Linked DNA regions of Drosophila melanogaster. The protein of the gene in region 1 purifies or fractionates together with the protein of each later gene. This does not show direct contact. Each region holds a gene or a part of one and is shown on either strand. Other genes may lie near its edges. The genes, in order: Ykt6 and koko.

Region 1 (10,877 bases):
TAAACACTGCGGTTGGCCGGCGCTACTTCACCCTGTTCCTGGAGCCGCTGAAGGCTAGCGCTCTGATTGGTTTCTACCTGGCCGTGGAGGAGATCAAGCACGCGCACAAGTCGGCCAGCCATCAGCTGGGCACGGAGATCTTTTACACCTACATCAGAGTGCCCAAGTCAGAGATCCAGATTGACAAGCACGAACGCAAACTGATCGAGACGTTCCTGCTGGGAGATGCCGAGCCTGACATCTTCTATGACATCCAGCGCAATGTACTACGCACGCTGGAGGAAAAGTACTATCCGCCATTTGTGCTCAGCGATCAATATCGTCAGTTGAAGGAGGCATTGGACTCCAATGAGATTGCAGATCCCACGCTGCTAATGTGTCACACCATTGGCGATGTACAGGAGCCGCTGGCGGATGAGCAACCGGGCGCGGCGGATGGACTAAATGGCGGAGCTGGTGGTGCCATCGATGTGGCCGCCCACACATCCTATGCACGACGAAAATTGGAACAAATACAGGAACGGATTGATAAAAAGAATCAGGCGCTGGACGCCCTCAAATATTCCGTGAAGCCGGAGTCCAAGGTGCTGACCATTCTCGAAAAGGAGATGGAGTGGCTGAAGAGCGAGAAGCGACAGACAGAGGCGCATTTGCGTCGCACGGACGCCTGGACAGAGCATCTGGGCAAGTGGAAGGCTACCATCCAAAGTGTAGAGGTCAGTGCTCCATCCCTGAGTGATTTTATCAGCCATCTTCAATTTTTTTTTTTTTTTTGCATCTTTTAGGTCTCCGATGAGAAAGAGTCCTTGCAGTTTATGATCTTGGTTCATGTGGACGAGGATATTAATGCCCCAGTACAACCGACTTCATCCAAAAACGGTGACAGCGGCCATGCCAATCTACGTAAGCGACCGTCGGGCATTTCCAGTGGTTGGGTAGTAATGCGCTCCCTTAATCAAGTCCATGTGTGTATTCCCTTTAAGATTCTATAGATCACTCTCACTAACATTTTGGTTATTTGTGAAGGAACTACAACGGAAGCTGAGACACGTGAGCTCTAACCTGAAGGCCATCGACCTGCCTACGAACTTTAAGTTCTTTTTTCTGAAAACAGATCGTCATGGTCAGGAAAAGGCCAAGTCACAGATTCAGAAGTTCTTGAATGTAAGTTTAATTTTTTCTTTTACACCATAGATAAGTTTGTGATTCCATACTTTTTGGCCACTTAGTTTATCCTGGAGGACGATCATTTGAATGGCAGCGAGGCCATCTACACGTTTCTTAGCCCAAGTTCCGACCACCTGAAACAATCGCTGCCCTCGCCAAAGAAGTCCAAATTCTCGCTATCTACGCTATTCCGCAGCGATGCTGGCAAAGCTCACGAGGCCAGCAAGGCAACCGATCCGTTTTGGGGTCTGCAGCGCGATGACGAGGATATATCTACCTATTTAGACGGCGAGTCCGGCGGTGAGGCTAAAATGCTAGCAGCGGATCTGGATAGCAAGGATTCGATAGCAGAACCGATGTACGCTCTAATGGGCGAAATCTTTGACATGGGCGGAGTTTTCAAGTGGTTGCGTAAGAGTCTCATCTCGTTTGTGCAGATCACATACGGCCGTACGATCAATCGACAGATCCGCGAATCGGTGGCCTATCTCTTTGAGGAGTCTATGCTGCACAACTACTTTTCGGCCATCCTCAAGTCATTTTGGCCAGGCGGAGTTCTTGCCTCCGCCTATCCGACGCGATCGGAGGATATGCGCGAAATGACCACCACGGCGGCCAAGGCCCTGCTCACCGATCACATACCGGAGGTACTGTGCAACCTGGTCGGTGCACAGGCTGCCAAACGGGGTGTCCTTAAGGTTTTCGATGCCCTGCAGAATCCCGCCTACAACAAGCAGCTATTCTACGTGAGTAGTGGTTTCAGTGGTCATATAGCCAAATATACAATTGGTATCTCTAATCTTCAGGAGCTGCTGGAGATACTTATGATTGAGTTCTTTCCTGAAATCCGACAATTGCGCGTCAGCAACTCCAATGGAACCAAGTTAAATACGGCTACTGCTGGAGCGGCAGCTGCATCCGCCGCTGCGGCACTGGTGGCTGCCACGGCATCAGCTTCGCTGCCCTCGCTTAATCATAGTGGTGGGGGTCACAGTGCATCCACGGGGGGTCACCAAAACCATCAGGGATCCTCGTCGGCCAGCGGATCCTCAGCTGGCGCGAGTGGCGCCACCGGTGGTGGTGCCGCCTCGCACCACCAATCGCATTACCACCACGGATCCCACCACCACCAGCAGCAGCAGCACCACCATTCGCAAGCGGGCAGTTCGAAGTGAAGTGAACTTAAGAAGAACCACTTCGTTTTAGATTTTACTTTAACCTAAACCCTTTTTTTTATTTATGTTATGTTTTGTTTGATTTTATGTTCAATGTTTAATGCTCTCCCTCTTTCTAACCGGTGGATATTGTTGATTTAGCCGAGGAAAGGGATTACAAAGAATAGTTATGTAGAACACAACACAACTCAGTAGTACCAGTATCATTCCCTGTACAAATGCAGACTTACAATCCATATGAATTCAGTTCTTGTTGATTCGTTCGTCCATCACTTCCTGTAGCCAGATTTGTTTGTTATGTGTATATGTCTGTACATAGGTCAGTATTAAGCGTTGTACCAAATCGTTGTTTATATACTCGTATAGTAAATTGTGACACTCAGTTTGGATTGATTTTAATTATAGTTTAGTAGCAGATATTGAGCCCAAAGTTGCGTCTGCAGCTGGCGTTGAGTCGGTGCTTGTGATTCCCATGCCGCGCCAGCTGTAGATCCATCCTCCCCCCAAAAATATTATAGAAACACAACAGGTGAGATTAGTTTGAGGCAAGCTAATGGGCGTCCAGAACAGTGCGTTCCATGGCCATAAAGCAACTTCCGTATTGACACACATTGTATTCTTTTTCGAATTTGTATTAAAATGATTCAATTGTTGCACATCGATAACCATCAATTAAAAATTGTATTTGAAATTTCCTAATTGACCAAAATTGGTAATGGTATCAAATAATCTTAAAGACTAAGCGTTGATTGAGGCTGTCTTAAAAAACAGAACGTTTGATAACACAATAAAACAGTCGCAAGTCAGGACTTTAAAGAAGCATTAATCCTTAAGCATTTGTGGTTATCCAAATGCATTTTGATACCATGTTAAAACACACAACTCGAAATTACAACATTTAGAATTGACCCAAAATCAGTTTTGTGGACCTGAAACGCCCCGTAGACACCCACCCACCACCACCACGACCCAAAGACACCGGCACCTTCTGTAACACTAGGCAAAATGACACTTAGATGATTCATCCCCAATGAGCCAAACGTATCCCACTTAGGACCCACATTAAGAGTTTCGAGGCGCTTTCAATCTATTTATGTATTGCAGTTGTACACTTTTATGTGAAAATGCGAAATAAAGATCGCTATTTATGTAGATGGTTCACCAGTATTTTGATGGGACCACCCCACATACACTTAGAAAACGACCATATTTGCGACAAGCTTTTCCAGGGGAATGGCTTGCATGTCGACGACCACAATGACGAGATGATTGCGCACTCCCACCGGCTTTTTGATCATCAATCTTACCTCGAAGTATTTCAGCAGAAAGCGCCACTTTAGCTCGCTTTTCTCGCGCTCCGCCAGTCGCTCGAAGTCTTCAGCCCGAAGTCCCAGGATACGTTCTGCCGGATGTCCAGCTAACCGGGCTTCGACGAGAGTGCCGGTCTGGTCGGACAAATGAATGTTGATATTGAAGTAGCTAATGGATCGTGGTTCATCATTGTCCAATGAAAAATACTGCTGGCAGGCGTCCGAGGCGCAATCTTGCAGGTTCCGTGGTATATGTTGTTGACAGGCAATGCTGTAAAATAAAAGGGCTTTTAAGAATATGTCTTGTAAACTATGTAACGGATAGTGGGAAGCGTTTCGGCGGTTAGGAAGGGATGGGGATGTACAACACCCACCACTTCCTGTTGACGTGGGAGGTCAATCCATCCAAGTCGAACTTGGTGACCATCCCATACAGCACTGCAGTAAACTGATGTATGGACGGATCCTGCAGTTCGCCCTCGGCGCGTGAATATATCTGTCTTACCGTCATCTGCGCCTGAATGCTGGCAACTGAAAGAGTTATAGTAAATAATAATACTGCATTAATTATCCTTTACTCACCTGCAGGCATGTTGTCCAGCTCTGCCTGGTCACAGCCACTAAAAGTTGTTAGAGGCACAGTGGCGGCGAAAGCTAGCAAGAGACGGCAATCATCTCCAGCCGCCTGAGGATTTTCGCAAATAAGTGTGCAATTGGAATGGGAGAGGACGAGAGAACGATGAAAGTTCGAGTAGGAAACACGCACGTCGATCAAATGAAGGACAGTGCGACGTGGCTGCCATTGCTGGGCACGTTGTATCCAGTCGGGTTGCCAAACGGAGAGCAGCATACCTTCCGGATAGCTGGCATCGATCACGATTACTTCCAAGCACTGTAGCAGCTCCTGGACCTCACTTAGTGGCCCCTGCAGCTTTCGCTTTATCTGACGCACTGGACGCACTGCAGCCACTACTACCAGTAGATTCACATTGGTGGTGATTATCTTATCGGGAAATCCCAAGCCGGAACGCACATCCGCCAGCTTAAGGACCGCACCAAGTGGCCTTATGGGCTGATGGAGTAACTGCTGGAGAATTGTTATTTGGCCAAAGTCGTCATTGTCGTGGCGCACCACATAGCCGGATCCCTCGTTGACCACCAGGGCGCAGGAGACCGTCGCTTGGGGCTGATAACGCTGTTCTCCCGGAGCAGCAAACGGTATGGACATCACTTTAGCGCCCACAATGTCTACCACATGGCCGATCTGCAGCATGGCCGCGTACTCATCCACACAGTCCCGCTGGCCCCAGCACTTGCAATTGGTCAGGTGATTGGGGGAATCTCGGATGGTCAAGCTGAGAACCCCTCGTTCGGTGCCACTCATCTTGTCATAGAAGATGTTCGGCGAGGATTTGGAGACAATCAGGGCAACGGTGGAGAAACGGGTCATTGTGGGACGCATCTCTGCCAACCGCTGGAACTTAATACGCCTTGCCATTGAAATTATTTAAGAAATCGCGACCAGTCAGATTGCAGTGCTTAAGAAAACCGTTACATTGCCGTTACCGCCGATTAGTAGTTATCGATGTTTGTAGTGATGGTACACCACAAATGGCCGTAGATTCAGTTAGTAACAGAAAGTATTGCTAACAACTTAGTTTGATAAAAACCACAATTAAAACATTTACAGAAAGTTGCGCTTATTAATTGTAACCATTGGAATCGATAATAATCGGATGGCATCCGAATACCAGACGTACCATCCCTAATAAGCTGACACACACTACGCATATGTGCACCCGCGCACACACACACGCACACACAGAGGGGAACGGCACAGATTTACTGCGTTAAACAAACTCACTTGTCGCACTTTTCCACGAATGCCAGTGCGCTGAAAGTGAAACCCATCCGCCGGAGCATAGTAGGATTAGCCAGGACAACCGTTCAGCTCAGTGCCCCAGAAGCATTTAATTGGAGGAGCAACAGTCGAGCAACCCGCGACCCGCAGACCCAGTCTTGGCAGCCCACAGCCACTCAAAATGGTCAAACTATTCGCGTTGAGCATCTTTCACAAGGGCGCCAGCGAGGCGCGTCTCCTGAAGACCGCCTCGGACCTGCAGTCCTTCTCCTTTTTCCAACGTGGCACCGTCAACGAGTTCATGACGTGAGTATGCATGTGGATGCCAAAGAACGGCGCAGGCTCAAAGAGTCATCAATGACGAACACCCCCCTAAACAACTCCTCCTCTTGCAGTTTCGCTTCGAAGACGATTGTGGAGCGCACACAGCCGGCCCTGCGGCAATCGGTGAAACAGGATGCCTACATGTGTCATGTCTATGTGCGGGCGGACAATCTGGCCGGTGTACTGATCGCCGATCATGAGTATCCGCATCGCGTGGCGCACACGCTTATCACAAAGATTCTGGATGACTTTACGGCCAAGGTGTCGGCCGATCAGTGGCCCAATGGCACGGAGGCCACTATCTCATTTGACTTGCTGCCAGCGTTTCTAGCACGCTATCAAAATCCCGTCGAAGCAGATCCGCTGACGAAAATGCAAAACGACCTGGACGAAACGAAGATCATACTGAAGAATACCATCGAGGCGGTGCTGGAGCGGGGCGAGAAGCTGGACGACATGGTCAGCAAGTCGGAGAAATTGTCGCTGCAGAGCAAGGCGTTCTACAAGACGGCGAAAAAGACTAACTCCTGCTGCAGCTTCACCTAGACGACAGCTGCACCTCTCATCACCCCCCACCACACGCTAATCCTCTCAAGCAACAACCACAACAGGAAACACCAGAAAATGCAAATCAAAGACAACACAAAGGATAATGGATAACACGATAACACCAACAAACTACAACCAAACAAACTCCAAGGGAGCGGTGCGACTTGGGCTTTGATGATTGCTTTTTATAAATGAATTAGTTAATTTTATATACTATATATATATATTATATTATATACTGTATGAATAGGATGGCCAGTTGCCAGTTACGATAGTCCGCTAACCCAATGTCTACCTGTCTGTATATGTCTACGCTTTGGATATCTAAATGTTAATTACTACCAATACAGATTACGATCTAAACCCATGTGCTTAACATAATCTTCTCTTCACTTATGTGTTGGCACGGCGGTCCAAAATTGGCCCTTTGCTAGCTATTGATGTTGTGGGCCTTCTTATCGCCTCCACGGCGGATCTATGTATACCAATCGGATCGGAAGGCTGCACCTATGTATACACATGCAGTCGCACTTCCGATCCGGGCAACTGGCGGTCGGAATGTGTGGGCGTTTCAATAAAGAAGTATTATGGGAAATGTGAACCAAGCTCGTTTTCATTGCTCACATATACAAACCTTATCTTTGTCAATTTTGGCAAAATGTACAAACTATTTGTACGAGCTCTGTACATAGCACATGAACTTATTTTTATTTATGTAATACGTACCACTTTATCTTAAGTGCAAATTCCATTCCTCCCAAAAAAGCAAAATCAATTTAAAAGTGATTTTCTGTTGGCGTTTATTTATTATATAGAAGACACCTATTTCGCTTCTTGTAAAGATTTCCGTTACATTTTTCATATTTATGCGTTTTCCTTACGTTTTCGTGTTTAACCTTTTGGATTTTGGTTATGTTTAATGGGTTCGGTTTGTATAGCCTAGTATAAGATAGGTAAATCGATTACAATTTAGTTTTCGCCCCCTCTCCATCGCAATTTTCTTGTGTGTTTGCGCGGGGAGAAAGGGGAGGCGGTGCATTATAAATATATGCATTATACTGCATACCTATATCGTTTCGTTATAATTAATATAATATTGTGTGTGCTAACTTAGCTTAAGCTGCAAACATTGATTCAAACGCGTTTGCTTGGCTTCTCGTTTTTTATTGATTTGCATCAACATTGTATGCATTTTTTTTTTGTGTTAGTGATCTATAGTAATATTTAGAATTTATTCAAATGCTTTCAATATATGCAAGTGTAAATATTAGTCGATGCAATGTTCTAAATGCACGCTCCTTCGAAATGGCTAAGAATTTGCATTTGTGTTTCCTGGTATGTGTATTTTTTCTTCTCAATTTTTTCGCTAAAAATTAGCATTGGTCAACACAACAAATGAAAATCAAGAAAAGTTCTCCCTTCTTTTCAAATCAGTAAAAAATACGTGTGTATGTGCGGCTGGATGAGTTTTGTATTCATTTAAAAACTAGTTTGGATAAATTGTTGGCTTGCTTGCTTTTGATTGAATTTATATTATTTAGGACTTAGTGGGGGATCCCCGTTTCATCGAATTCCAATCGAAATACGTACAAGTAAGGTTCTAACGTGTTTCGTTTACGCAGCTGTTATCACAATGGGTTTTGGTTTCAACTTGCATTATTTTTATTATTTTAAAGTTAGTTCCGTTTGCCGGTGGCAACTTTAGCTTACATGCAGCAGCTAAATGTTATTTGCCCCACGATTCTAGTGTTTAATGGTTTCCATATTTTGTTTTCAGAACCCTCAAAAGCCGCTCCTAACTTTGGCGCTTAAAAGTATGCTTGTTTTGCAGGTCTTGCGTGCATGTACACATGTACATGTAATGTGTTCGCTTGTGTTTGTATCATCTATAAGAAACTTGTGTGTCTGTGTGGGTGGGTGTTGGCGTGTACAGATGTGTCTTTGTTTAATTGTTTGTCGTGTGAGTGTGTGTGTTTGTTTGTGTGTGTCCGAGTGCGTGGGTGTGTGCGGGTGTTTTTGCTGCATTTTTGGCACTTGTGCGTATCGCACTGTAACGGTAAATGCATTCACTTTATCGACTTTATCGACATTGATACATGTATATACATACATATTTTGGTTAACCAATGATAAAGCTTAAGACAAAACAAATTACAAAGTAAAACAAACGCAAAAACGTAAACTACATCATAAACGCGTATCTGTGTGTGTGTGTAAACGATTTTTAGTTCTCTAAGTAAACGAAACAGAAAATAAGTATTAAACAACTATACAAACTATCGAAATAACGGCACTTCGTTTCACTTTCTCCGTTATTCTCTTGTTCTTGCTTCAAACAATTGAATTCATTTTGTTTTTGGCTTTAGTCTTTCGTCTTTATTTTTGGTTGCATTTTTTCAAAAGTTGCAATTCTATACTTTCAAAAATATATGTATATGCGAATTTCTATCGTTTTAAATCTATCGTTTTAAGAAGAGACTGCGAGCGAGAAATATATCGTATATGGGGGCGGGACGGGGGGCTGAGAGAGATAGGGATGAAGACTGAGATAGAGCGATCGATAAGGACTTAAACGAAGGACTTGCCTCAAAAGTGCGAAGGGAACAACAAATTCTCCGCTTTCCTCCCTCAGTTTTTGGGGGCTTTCGGTTTCAGTTACTCTTAAATTTTATCAGTTTCAACTTCTTTTGCTCTTTTTTTTCTCGTTTTTTCCTTTTTGTTTTCATTTGATTTTGTGTGTTTCAATGTTGTTTTTTTGCTTTTTTTTTTTTAGTTTGTTGTTTGGTTTGTTTGTTTTTCGCAGTGTGTACACAACAACTTATAGATAAATACAATACAAATATCGCGTTCTATAGTTTTATTTCTTCAAAAAAAGAATGTATGCCTCAAGTCATCCATAATACATTATATTTTAGCCATCAGACATTGTCTATGAGCGACAACGACAACGACAATAATACAAATACATAACATATATTCATATTCCTCTTCTGATTCAGATACTGATTTCGATTCAGATTCAGCTTCAGTTTCAGCTGCCTCTGCTTCAGTTTCAGTGTTTTTGGCCTGGCCTTTTTGGGGGCACTGCGATTACTTCATTTAAATTGGTTATTAATTAGTATTTTTGTATTTTCGTTTGTTTATATAAGTCTATCACATCATCACAATTCGGTTGCATCAAAATCATAATTACGAAGTATGCAATTATAAAAATAAATACGTTAATTCACTGGTAACTTTGTGTATACCCCTTGAGTAGATAAAAAAAAAAACATTTTTTAGTTGTAGTTTTCGAATCCCGTCTCCAATGATTTTCAAAATGTATGAGAAATCTACCAATATGAAATGAAATAAAAGCGAGCTTCTCTATGAATTATAGGTCTATATAGAAGAATTCGAGTCTTCCGTTCGTTTGCTTTAAAAAGAGATCCTTGTGTTGACGATATACCCTACATATATAAATATTTCCGTTTGTTTTCCCCGATTTTTATTTATTTGCTAAAAAGAAACCGTATACGTAGAGAACTTATACAAAAAAAATTAACAAAAATGTTTCTTTCACACCCCCCGATCGGCTAACAAATATATTTCTAATATAATCTACATGACTTTTCATATATTTTCCTTGTGTTCTTGTTCTCATACAATTCCACTGTAGAATATTCCCTTGTGTCCGTTACGTTTTCCCAAAATTCTTCGGATTTTTGTACTGCTTTCCCGTGGCGAGGATAACGCACTGCTTGCAACAACATGGACAACTGCTTGAACAGACGATATATGGATATATTACTGCTAACTATATGACTGGAGCTGCCAATTAATGTTACTACTACTAATTTACTCGTCCTGAACTCTGGCCAAAAGTATTCGGAAGAGAGAGAAATTAATAATGCAAATCAAAATGATTTTCAAATCAATTAATAAGATATGGGGAAATAAAAAAAGAGCTTTTGGAATAGTCAGAAGTATGCATTATGTTTGCTGTATTATTATTATCATTATTTTCGTGTGGCATTGCTTGGCATTATTTGATCTTCTAACCTTGTTTTGTGTTCCTCCTTCTTTTCCTCTTGTTTCGTGTTCGCTTTAATTGTTTTTATGGATGAATGTGGCGTCTTTTCTTTTTTCTTCGCTTTCTTTCTTCTTATTTTCATCTGCTTCTGTTCTTTGGTCTTTGAATAATTGAAAATTGTAATTGAATTTTTTTCAAGTATTTGCATAGAACTTTTGAAAAAACCTCGTTAATTTATGCGAATTTTTGTGTTAGGGGATTATTATCGAATTCTATAAATCTTCAACAAAATGAGTTTTTGTTTTAATCTCCATTGAAAATCAAGCTCGAATCTACATATAGATGTAAATATATATATAGCATATATAGAATACACACGTATATGTATCAAAATGGGAAATTAAATGATAACTGTAAATTTGCTTGTCATTGTGATGTTCGTTGTGTGTGTGTGTTGAGTGTCAATGTGTGTGTGCGTG
Region 2 (10,784 bases), on another chromosome or scaffold:
TACTATTGAATACAGAAAAATAAGCCATCAAAGTCAGCATTATTTGCAGTGTTTGCCGACCACTTCCCCGATAAGCCATACATATAGAGTTACGTAACTGGAGATCGGCGACTCGAGTGGCCGGGCTTTGGCTTTATATAGCTAATTAACTGGACGATCGACCAGGAGCACTTGTGTGCAACTCGGCAAAATACTATACTTCAGATGTGAAATTGCTAGATTTCTAGAATCGATCAGATTTTCCCCATTCATAAACTGGGTCTGCGACTGTGGCTAATCAGCGCAATACTGATTGATCGATTGGAAGTGCCATTGGACAATTTATAGAGCGATCCATAAATCATAATCGACTGGTATTTATTGTGCGCTATTCGCAACTACTCGAGCCCAGCTTTTAGGGTTTCCGTTCCAGCTGGAGATCTTTGTGGGGACGCAAGGCTTCTGGAAACCGAGACCCCGAGAAAAAGATCACATGATAGAACCCCCCCATATGATTATGATGATTGCATAAAACTCGAAAACTCGCGACTTTGCAAAGAGAGCGCGACTCACAGATACTCTGGAGAGTATTATATTCACATGACAAGGGTTCGACTAACACACACACACACTGCGAACGTAGTAGGTGCGTACCTGAGTATCTCAGAGATACTCGGGGCTTACGAAAGAGATAGCGCTACGCGTATCTGCCGCTCTGACTTTAGCTGCGACTTCTGGCAGGTGTTTGCACAATGGGTCCCATGACAGGTGTGCCCCGCAGCCCCCAGTAAGCTCACTTTTCCGACCAGTAGCTGTCAGCAGCCAGCATCACGTGCCAAAGTGCATTCAAATTGGGCTTAATTGCACATACTCCCTGCTGCCAAAGCACGTGCTTTGGATGGCTAGTTTACAGGGGATATGGGATATATACGGGTGGATAACCCGTGGCACAGCTTTTACACCTCGAACCCGCCGGGTTTTTCCAGTTGCTTCGAGTTTTTTCGAGTTTTTCGCTTACCTTCACAGCTCCGAAAACGCTTTTTATGTCAAAGACACACCAGATTCGATTCCCCGCGAGTGCGAGCGATAAATTTAGAACTTGTTTGTTGCCGAGCGAGAGTATCTTTATTCGAATCTGAATCTGAATGGAGCGCAGCACACGTCTGCTCACCGCCAGCGATCGACTGCGTTTAAATTTGGCACTCGCTGCCGCGACTTCGGTTCGAAAATCTCGCGATCGCCTCGAAATGCCTCGCACTCTCTGTTACTCAGCACACACACCCTGTGAATTCAGGCGGCTCTCTCGGCGCGGGCATGCCAACTATGTATGATCGGTGACCGTTATCGCAAATCAGAAATCGACAAATACCCGTACTAAAGTCAAAATCCTCGAGTGCTACATGTGTCTACCAAAAAAATGGTCAGTTTCCAAAAACCTAATCACTCTTAGGATCACCCAATTAATCACCATTAATATGTGATATTTTTGCAGTAACTAGATGTGCTTGTTGATAGTGAGGAAGCCAATCTCAAAAAAAAACCAATTGAACTAACACTTCTTACAATTTAAACTTTTAATTAGAATTTAGAATATAAAATAATATTAAGCTAATTTGGTAACAGTTTCATTTTAAATTTCAACTGTTTTAAGTGCTGTAAAGTGCATAAAGTGTTAACAGGTGGCTCCACGCACAACGCGTTAGTACCTTACCAAATAGCGTTTTCACTGCACCGCTCACCACGGCCACACTCTGCCTTTGTTTTGTTTTGATATTCCCACTGCATCGCATTTAATTTATTAAAAGCTGTTACCAAATTATGTCCTACGCCGGCTATAGCCAGCTGCCCAGCGGCAGCGACCAGGAGCGCAGGCAGGCGCAGCTCGCGGCCAGCACCTACGACGTGCTACAGCGGACGACGGACAGTATCCAGCGATCCAACCAGATTGCCATCGAAACGGAGAACATGGGGGCGGAGGTAATTACCCAGATAGTAGCCATTAACAGGGCTAACTAATGCTCGCTTACGCATCAACAGGTACTCGGCGAACTGGGCGAGCAGAGGGAGTCGCTGCTACGCACCACGCGCCGCCTGGAGGACGCCGATCAGGATCTGTCCAAATCGAGGGTCATCATTCGGAAGTTGAGCAGGGAGGTGCTCTACAACAAGATCATCCTAATCCTGATTATCATTCTGGAGGTGGGCATACTCGTCGGCTTGCTGGTGCTGAAGTTCGCTCACCTGTGAGCCAATGCCATTCTATTCCAAAGTCGTAACCACCAAACAGGCGATGGACTATATATACCTATTAATCGTTACGAATTCTTTGTCCTAGTTAATAAGCTTATAAATGTATATACTCCACTAAAATGCACTTCCAATTCAAAAAGGTCAGTTTTAGGATATACCCAGCGATGAATCGGGTGGTTGATTATGTTTATTCATGTTGGCTAAAGCGTTAATGCCTTAGACGTCTATAATATGTATTATGGTAGTAAAACACAGATAAAATCGGGTCTGGACATCGGAAGCTCTGCACTCCGAAGAGTTTAGCCCAGTCCCAACGCATATACATACGTATGCTATAACAATGATAATATGTAGTTCGTGCAGCACGCTATGCCACGACTATTTGGCAAAAAGCAACGTTAATTACATTCAGTGGGCGACAACGAGATAGTAGAACATCCTGAACAATGTCTGCATAATACTTGATCTATGATAAACGGTTACATATATGTAAGTATGTGGGCATCGCTTTGGGGATGCTTCTTTGTTCGAGAGATGTTTGGGATTTCGCAGAGCTGCGCCTCCTCATTCCTTTGGTGCAGCAGCTCTCCGCTTCAGTTGCCTTCAATTGTCCTTCGGAAGAACGATGGACCAGCCGAAAACGCGGCGATCGAAGCCGCAGGAGAAGAGATCGCAGTCCAGCAGCGGCTCCTCCGCCCACGCTACAGACGACACCATCCGTCGGTGGCCCTGCCGACTGGTCCGTGGCAATCGGGCGACTCTCTGCCCGTTCAAATCGAACAGTCGGATCTGTCGATTGTCATGCGGTATGGCGATAATTCCACCAGTGGAGACCGCCAAACGATTGACCGAGGAATCCGTTCGAATGGTGGCCAAGGCGGATCGCATGTTGCGCAGCTCCCAGACCTTGATTGTACGATCATCTGATCCGGACACCACCTTGTCGTCGCGTGCGAACACACTGGACGTAACCGTTTCCGTGTGCCCTTGGAAGACGGAGACCGCTGGGATTGCCTCTCGGAAGTCCCATAGACGGAACGTAGTGTCCCTGGAAGCGGTGACCACCAGGCGCTGGGTGGGATGTGCCGACACGTGGGTGAGCTCGTGGTCGTGCCCAGTGAGCGGCTGCAGTGGCAGGCCAGTCTCCACGTCCCACAGGATGGCAGTCCGATCCCAGCTGCCCGTGATGATTTGATCCATCGAAGAGAGCCAATCGGCGGCCACCACGACTGAAAGATGACCGCCGGGGCCTGTGAACTCGCAGAGCGGAGTGCGTAAGGTGTCCACACGATCGCGATCTTCCACCTGCTCATCACTGTCGTCCAGTTCCTCCTCTGAAGAATGGCCCTTCCTGAAAATCATGCAACGATTATTGAACTACTATAAAATATATTGCAAAGTTACTCACTTGGGCACTTCCCAGTTGACGGCCGCCTGCCAGATGTGGGCAGTACCATCCCCGCTGCCGGTGAGCACAAGATCTCGCTGCTGATGGAACTTGATGGAGTTTACGGAGCCGGCGTGCCCTTGGTACTGCAAAAGGCACCTGGCGCTCTCCACGCCCCAGATGCAGGCCGTATGATCGGCGGAGGCGGTGCCAATGATGGGTTGTCCCGCCTTGGCGGCAACCTGCCAGATGCCATCCTTGTGGCCGCCGAATTCTCGGACCACCGTGCTGACCACTGTGGGCGCCTTAAAGCTGGACACAATGCGGCTGGTTTGGGCCTTGATCTTGTTGCTGGCCTTGGCTTTGCTGCCGCCGGTAGCGCTGCTTAGTTTGGCCTTCAAGCTCTTGTGTGTACTGGATGCTGCAGCCAGGAAGCTGCCCGCCACCTCATCCGTCTGGGTTGCAGGCGTGGCCAAAGCTGCGGATGAGGCCTGAGTGCTCATTGAACCTCCTGCTGCGGATCTGGCATCGGGTGGAATCAATGACTCCTTGGTGGTGGTGGCTATGTCTAGCTTCTCCTGCACTATAACAGAGAATAGGCTTTAATCATGCGTGCACTATACAAAATTTGACATATGTAAGCAATAAATATTAAAGTTTATGAACGAGACCTTAAGGAGTTGTGGATTATATAGCTACTTACGGGCCTGGTTCTCCAGATACAGCTGCTCGAACTCCCGCTCGATCTGGGCGAAGAGGACGTGCAGGCGTGCACGGAATGGTGCATCTTCCGGTACGGCGGCCACGTCCTCCGTCAAACTGGTGAGGCGCACAGCCCGTGTCTTGCTAGCCTTCATGCTTTTCTTTTCGCCTCTTTGTTGTGTATCTCGCAAGTGATTTTCTGAGCCGAGCTGGTCGGCGATATCCGTTTCCTGGTGGGCAGAGCGCCCGGGGGAATCCAATTAGTGTTCAGGGGTTGCAGACTCGCGCTCTATTGATCCATCTTCCGCTGCTGGCGATGCATTTGCCTCTTTGGCTGACTGGGGAACTGCTGTTGCACTTGGTTTTCGCAATGATAATATACTTATTGCAGGTGTTTTTGTGCGCGGGGGGAGCGGGCGGAACAGCTGGTGTGTGTATCGAGTGTTATCGATGTGCGATTATCGCACAGTCGGACTGTGGCACACTGAGAGCAAATTGAACAAATTAAAATAAAATAATTTTGAAATTGCAGTTTACATATTAAATATATTTATATCATAAAAACGAAAAATCCTGTAAAAATTAACTGAAAATTCATTATATGTTATGAATTAGTTTAGAAAAATTTTCAACAAAAACACATCTATAAAAATGTACAATTAACAAAGTTTTTTTTTTAGTGCACTTTGGTTTGAGTACTAGTGTTGAGAAACAATTAGTTAATTTTGCTGACTTTCAAATCTGACACGTGAAGGTAAATAAATTCAAATAGAAATGTAACTATGGATCAGCGCTTTCCTGTAATTATTTATTAGGGTTGATTATCTTGTATAACCCTTTGAAACGGAAGCATTATCCTTAATCAACACTGTGTACTTGAACAGCTGTTTGGCCCGTAGTTGTAGGTACTATTTTTGAAAACACCATTGGGAGTTCCCACAAGACAAACAAATCCGTGCACCGTTGTATTGGATTCCAATCGAACAGCTGACATACCTTCGGGCCCGTTAGTTTTCCCGATCGCCCTGCATATGATACCATATCTCCCATTACAGCGCTGCAGCCCAATCAAACCGGTTTGTCGCCTTTCGACTTTTCGGTGGTCTCAGTTCACATCCATTTCCCCAACCAGTCCAATTGCTTTTATCTTGCTCCTCGAGTGTTAACGAAATTGCTTAAATCCACCCACATTCATCCTTTCATTCAGTTCGGCCTGGGAGTAGCAGCATGAAAAACGTTTTGGATGTCATGTCGATGCAGCAGCACGTGGAGTTGAACAAGGCGCAGACCATGAAGCCCATCGACTATCGGTAAGTTGAATGATCCAATCTAAAGATACCACCAATATATACATATCTGTGCCATCTGTGCCGCAGCAAAATGAACAAACCCGGCGTGGTGCCGATGTACATCTTTGAGTGCGCTGCCAAGTTGAAAATGAAACCGCTGACGGCGGCCTGTGCGGCCATAGTGTTCCATCGCTTCTTCCGCGAGGTCAAGGCCAGCGACTACGATGAGTTCGTGAGTAATATATGCCCCCAAAACGACCCCATCTCATGAGAAACTTTCTGGAATCCACAGCTCATTGCCGCGGGCTCGCTGTACTTGGCTGGCAAAATTAAGGAAGACGAAAGTGTCAAGATACGCGATGTCATCAACGTGGCATACTGCACCCTTAACCGGGGCAATGATCCAGTCGACCTGAACGATGAGTACTGGTCGATGCGGGATGCCATTGTCCAGGCTGAGCTGCTCATCACGCGCACCCTGTGCTTCGATCTCAACATAGATCTGGCCCACAAGTACTTACTCCACTACATGAAGACCCTACAAGACTGGGTGGGCACTGAGGTGTGGAACTCGGTGCCCATTGCCAAGGCAGCCGCCTCGTATCTGCAAGACTTTCACCACAGCGCCAATATCCTCAAGTACAAGCCCACCCATGTGGCCATTGGGTGCCTGTCGCTGGCCCTCCAGACCTACGGCATCCAGGTGCCGCTAACCGACGAGTCCGACGAATCCGCCATGTGGTACAAGCCCTTGGTCAAGGACTTCACCCGAGAGAACCAGTGGGAGATCATCGAGAACGTGATCGAGGTCTACAAGAACGAGGGCTTCCTGAATGCCACCTAATCGCTGAGAGAGACTGCCAAAACCATTCCTTCTGCCATCTGAACTTATTTATTTTCCCCTCGCCACCTCATAAACCAATCTCAGATACTACTAGACGTACATATGCTCAAATGTCCAATGCATTTACATCATGCCCTTGCCAAAACAAATAAATTGACCGGTAATGAAATGCTTATGTGATCGACGGGCGAAAGTACATTTACCTATCAGCGAAGACGATAGATCTAAAGTTTACAACTTATTTATACACTGATTCAATAAACAATTGTTCTGTGAAAAATGATATTGTTAATGGGTCTTTGGAGTTGTGAAATGCTTTAAGATTCTGAGGAAAAGCAAAAAGGTGTTTGGCGCTTTTATTTCAATCAAATTCATTATACTTTTAAGCTGTTAAAAGTTTTACAAAAAAATATTACACTTTATCAAACAAATTTAAATAAATCGCTCTGTATTTGATTAAATTCCGGGATGGGTGGCAACCCTTAGCCCCAGCCCAGCAGTGTTGACTAACGCAGGCATGTACAAAAACAATGCTAGTTCGTAAACAAAACATATTTTTTATACATTACTTGGCCAGAGCGAAAAAACAAGGACAATATGCGTAAGACGTGGGTGAAGCGAGAGAATATATACTTCAAGCCCTTCTACAAGCAGAAGTCGAAGATGTTCCTGCTGCTGATCTTCCTGGTCGGAATTTCGTTCATCGCGTATCAGGTGAGAGTCTCGCAAGGATTTTCCTGTGCACGGTGTTTAATGTGTAAACAATAACGATAGGCCTTCTCGCTGAACCAGCTGCCCGGAGTGCCTGCTCCGTGGAATCTGCAGCAGATCAAGCGCAAGCACCAGCAGATGATGCAGTCCCTGGGCAGCAAACAGCGCGACGTGGACGATTTCGATGGCGGAGGCGCCGATGCAGTTGCTCCGGCAGGCGGGGAAACCTCACCTGTTGCGGGTCACGAGGATCCCATCAAGATTGTCAGGTGTGTAGTAGATGCATTGTTGCTGGCTTGGGAAAATTCCTCATCCTCGTCTTTATCCTTTAGGGGCACACGGCTCTTCGACTACGACGCCTACAAGCCCAACTTCGAGGGCAAGTTCCGGTGTCTGGACGGCTCCAAAGAGATCCCGTTCGACCACCTGAACGACAACTACTGCGACTGTGAGGAGGACGGCAGCGACGAGCCCAGCACGAATGCCTGCGCCAAGGGGCGATTCTACTGTCGCTACCAGAAGCGTCACATCACGGGCCGGGGCCTGGATATCTACGTGGCCAGCAGCCGCATTAATGACCACGTGTGCGACTGCTGCGACGGCAGCGATGAGTGGAGCACGGCGACCAAGTGTCCCAACGACTGTGCGTAGTCGCAGGCCGACGGGACCCCGTTCCCACTCCCATTCCTCTTCCATCTCCTCCACCTGTGCACCTAGGACACCAATCTCAAGGATGAAGATGTCGGGCGGCGCATCACAAGCGATATTTTTTGTACGAGTACAATAGAATTGTAATTTATTTTAAAATAAGTAGATTGAATAAAAGAAACGAATTCCAAGAAACACAATGTGGCCTGTTCCAGTTTTCACATTCAAAGAATCTGATGGATTTAATGTGTACAATTTGTTTAAAACTATGTTTAATTTGGTGCCAGAGGAGCAGCTGCAAGATTAGATCTTTGTGGACATGTGAAAAAAAGAAGCTGCCATTTTATCCATATATGCTTATTCATTTTATTACCAGACTCACAAAAATCAGTAGAATTTACATTGGGAATTCCTTTTTTGTTTTGTTTTCTTTTTTTTGCTCGACTTTCTCTGCGCGATTTTTGGTTTCGAATTCGCAGCGTTTTCATTTATAATGTTCAATTTACATCTACGACCGTCTGTAATTTTAGTTAATATGGTTCTTCTTGCCTAAAAATGTTTTGTGCAGTTTAATCCGTAAAATGTACATCGACAAACTCTAAAGCAATTTTGAACTGCAAATTCTACAAGGTACGAAATTTTGTGTGTAATTAATTTTTCCCTTATATGCACAGTACGTCTCACTGGATTTTCTCTTGGTTTGCTTTCTTGGCTGGCTTTCTTGTCTTGTTTTGGATGATAAGCGGAAGCGGTAATGATCTCCACATCGATATACATAATTAGTTTAAGGAACGCGCGCCATCGCATTTACAATTACTTCTCGGATCTGAATTGGCAAAATTCACTTTATTCACTTGCATTTGCATTGAGTACTTCTTCTTTGACTTGCCCAGCACAATCAGAGAAAACTACGTCGTCTATGCCTGGACGAGCTGATTGCTATATTGCTATCGACGCTCTCGTCTCACAAATTTGATACTTTGCCCCCAGTTTGCGATGGAAACTGGGGATCAACCTAAGTAAAGTACATTTGTTGTTGTGGCTTGCTTTTTGCCAGTTGCAACTTAAAGTTAGCTTACGTACGCTAAGTAATACTTAATCAGAGGGCTTTGTGGGTGTGTGTGATTTAGATTTTAGGCTGGTTAGATTAATGCGTCTGTGCGGATGATGTATAAATTCATTGGGGTACTTAAAACATAAATTGCTTGAGACACGCTACGATTACAGTGCTTGCTCTACGATGTTTACTTTATATCATGTGCGCAAATCACAAATCTTTTCATCAATTACAAATAAATAGCATGGAGTGTTTGTATAAAATAAGAGAGGTCTGTAAAATCAGCATATATATAAATACGCATATATATAAATATATAGATATATATATATTCGGATTATGTATATTATTGCACTGATGAGATTTTGCTTTCAGTTTGGGACGAATTACAAAAATGCGATGATCAAAGATACAAAATACGAACAAAAAGGGGAATAAATAAATACATGTACAAAAAATGAAGGGACGAAGGGACTGGACATACATATAATATATATAGGACGTGGTAGGTGTGACTCCACTTAAGCTAAGTGCTGATGCTGCTGGTGGTTCTAAGAAACTTTCTCTCGTACAAGTACACATAGATATAGTTAGGCTACAGATCTAACGGCAAAGCGTATAATACAATTTCTGCAGTTTGCGTTTCGAGCGACACTGATGATGATGATGATGGTGGTGCGAGTGGTGATGTGAGTGGTGTTGGTGGTGGTGATGCCTGTGTGATGTTGCCGGATGGTGATGATGGCGCGCCTGTGGCGGCTGCTGCGTCTGCTGTTGTTGCATATGGCTGTGGTGATGACTATTTACAAGGCTCGCGGACGAGGCGCTCAGAGCCACCGCCGACGAGATCAGGGCCGCAGCCAGGCGCGATGAGGAGGCCAGCGCGAGCTCCGGGGCGGCAGCCAGCAGCTGCTGGTGGTGCTGGCGCAGCTGCGCCACCTGCTGACGCTTGAGGGCGGCGGTACCCTTGCGCATCGCATGCAAGCGACGCCTGTGGTGATGCGGATGCAGTTGCAGCTGTCACTTTGCCTCCTCGCCGGCTTCCAATAGATTGTTGCTCCCATTGTTGGTGGCGGCCACCGCCGCCGAAGACTGCTCACTGATGCCGACACCCTGCTGCTGCTGCATTTGCTGTTGCTGCTGGTTGAGCGCGTGGACGTGCTGGCAAAATGCCTGCAGCACCTCGAAGTGGGTCATCAGATTCGCTGGCTGGTTGTCGTAGTGCAAGTGCCGGGTGATCGGCGCATTCAGCCTACGTAGCATCTCCGTAAACAACTTCTCCTCCTTTCTAATCCAGGGTCGGCGATCATCCTGCACCTGGTAGGGCGTCAGGTGGACATGGATGTTCATGCCTGCTTAAAGACTCCCACTCGTTAGTTGACTCAACTTGGCATTTACTCTCTCTCCACTTACCCATCCGCGTTAGTGTTTCCAGCAAGCTACGGGACGTGATCCAAGTGTTCTTTTGGCCCCCATGGCCGCCATCCAGCCAGTACATGTCTGAAATCCGGGAGAGAAGGCGGCACATGCTGCTGTCGTCGGGCGTGAGCGTCTTAAGATAGTGGAACTCGTAGATGAACTATAAACAAAAAAGAAAGTGCAGATAAGTATGGTCAGTTGGGTATGGGCCACAATCCTCAGATACCGATTCAGCGTTTAGATTTATACTCTACACGCTCCATCGACACTTCTGCATAGGATTGAAGCTGGCGTATTGGCGAGTGGATCAACTAGGTAACGAACCAAACGCGACTCACTTGATTGAGCACGACGCAGCCCTTGCTAAAGCCAATCAGCACCAGCTTGGATTTGTCCAGATTGAGGTTCTCCCGCCACCACAGCGGATTGCTATCGCTGCTTGCCGTTGATGTGGAGGTGCCCGTTGCCGAGGCTGTTGTTGCAGAGGCAGCGGAAGCC

What was found.
Region 2: the proteins of Ykt6 (region 1) and koko purify together in Drosophila melanogaster (affinity purification with mass spectrometry, with the first as the bait; one large-scale study listed by BioGRID). This does not show direct contact.

The regions. Positions count from the first base shown.
Region 1 is NC_004354.4:7,914,982-7,925,858, forward strand, and holds Ykt6 (YKT6 v-SNARE), read left to right. Parts: upstream 1-5,427; 5' UTR 5,428-5,694; coding exon 5,695-5,819; intron 5,820-5,908; coding exon 5,909-6,383; 3' UTR 6,384-6,985; downstream 6,986-10,877. Other genes in the region: snz (snazarus), read left to right, coding at 1-716, 786-965, 1,027-1,164, 1,230-1,913, 1,974-2,342; hdm (hold'em), read right to left, coding at 3,536-3,923, 4,027-4,183, 4,235-5,150.
Region 2 is NT_033777.3:18,397,995-18,408,778, forward strand, and holds koko (kokopelli), read left to right. Parts: upstream 1-5,031; 5' UTR 5,032-5,072; intron 5,073-5,228; exon of another isoform or gene 5,229-5,525; 5' UTR 5,526-5,545; coding exon 5,546-5,628; intron 5,629-5,694; coding exon 5,695-5,839; intron 5,840-5,899; coding exon 5,900-6,451; 3' UTR 6,452-6,732; downstream 6,733-10,784. Other genes in the region: Vti1b (vesicle transport through interaction with t-SNAREs 1b), read left to right, coding at 1,798-1,956, 2,017-2,226; Wdr37 (WD repeat domain 37), read right to left, coding at 2,833-3,580, 3,638-4,199, 4,320-4,473; CG7685 (uncharacterized protein), read left to right, coding at 7,049-7,165, 7,226-7,431, 7,495-7,813; CG31122 (uncharacterized protein), read right to left, coding at 9,888-10,222, 10,281-10,446, 10,625-10,784.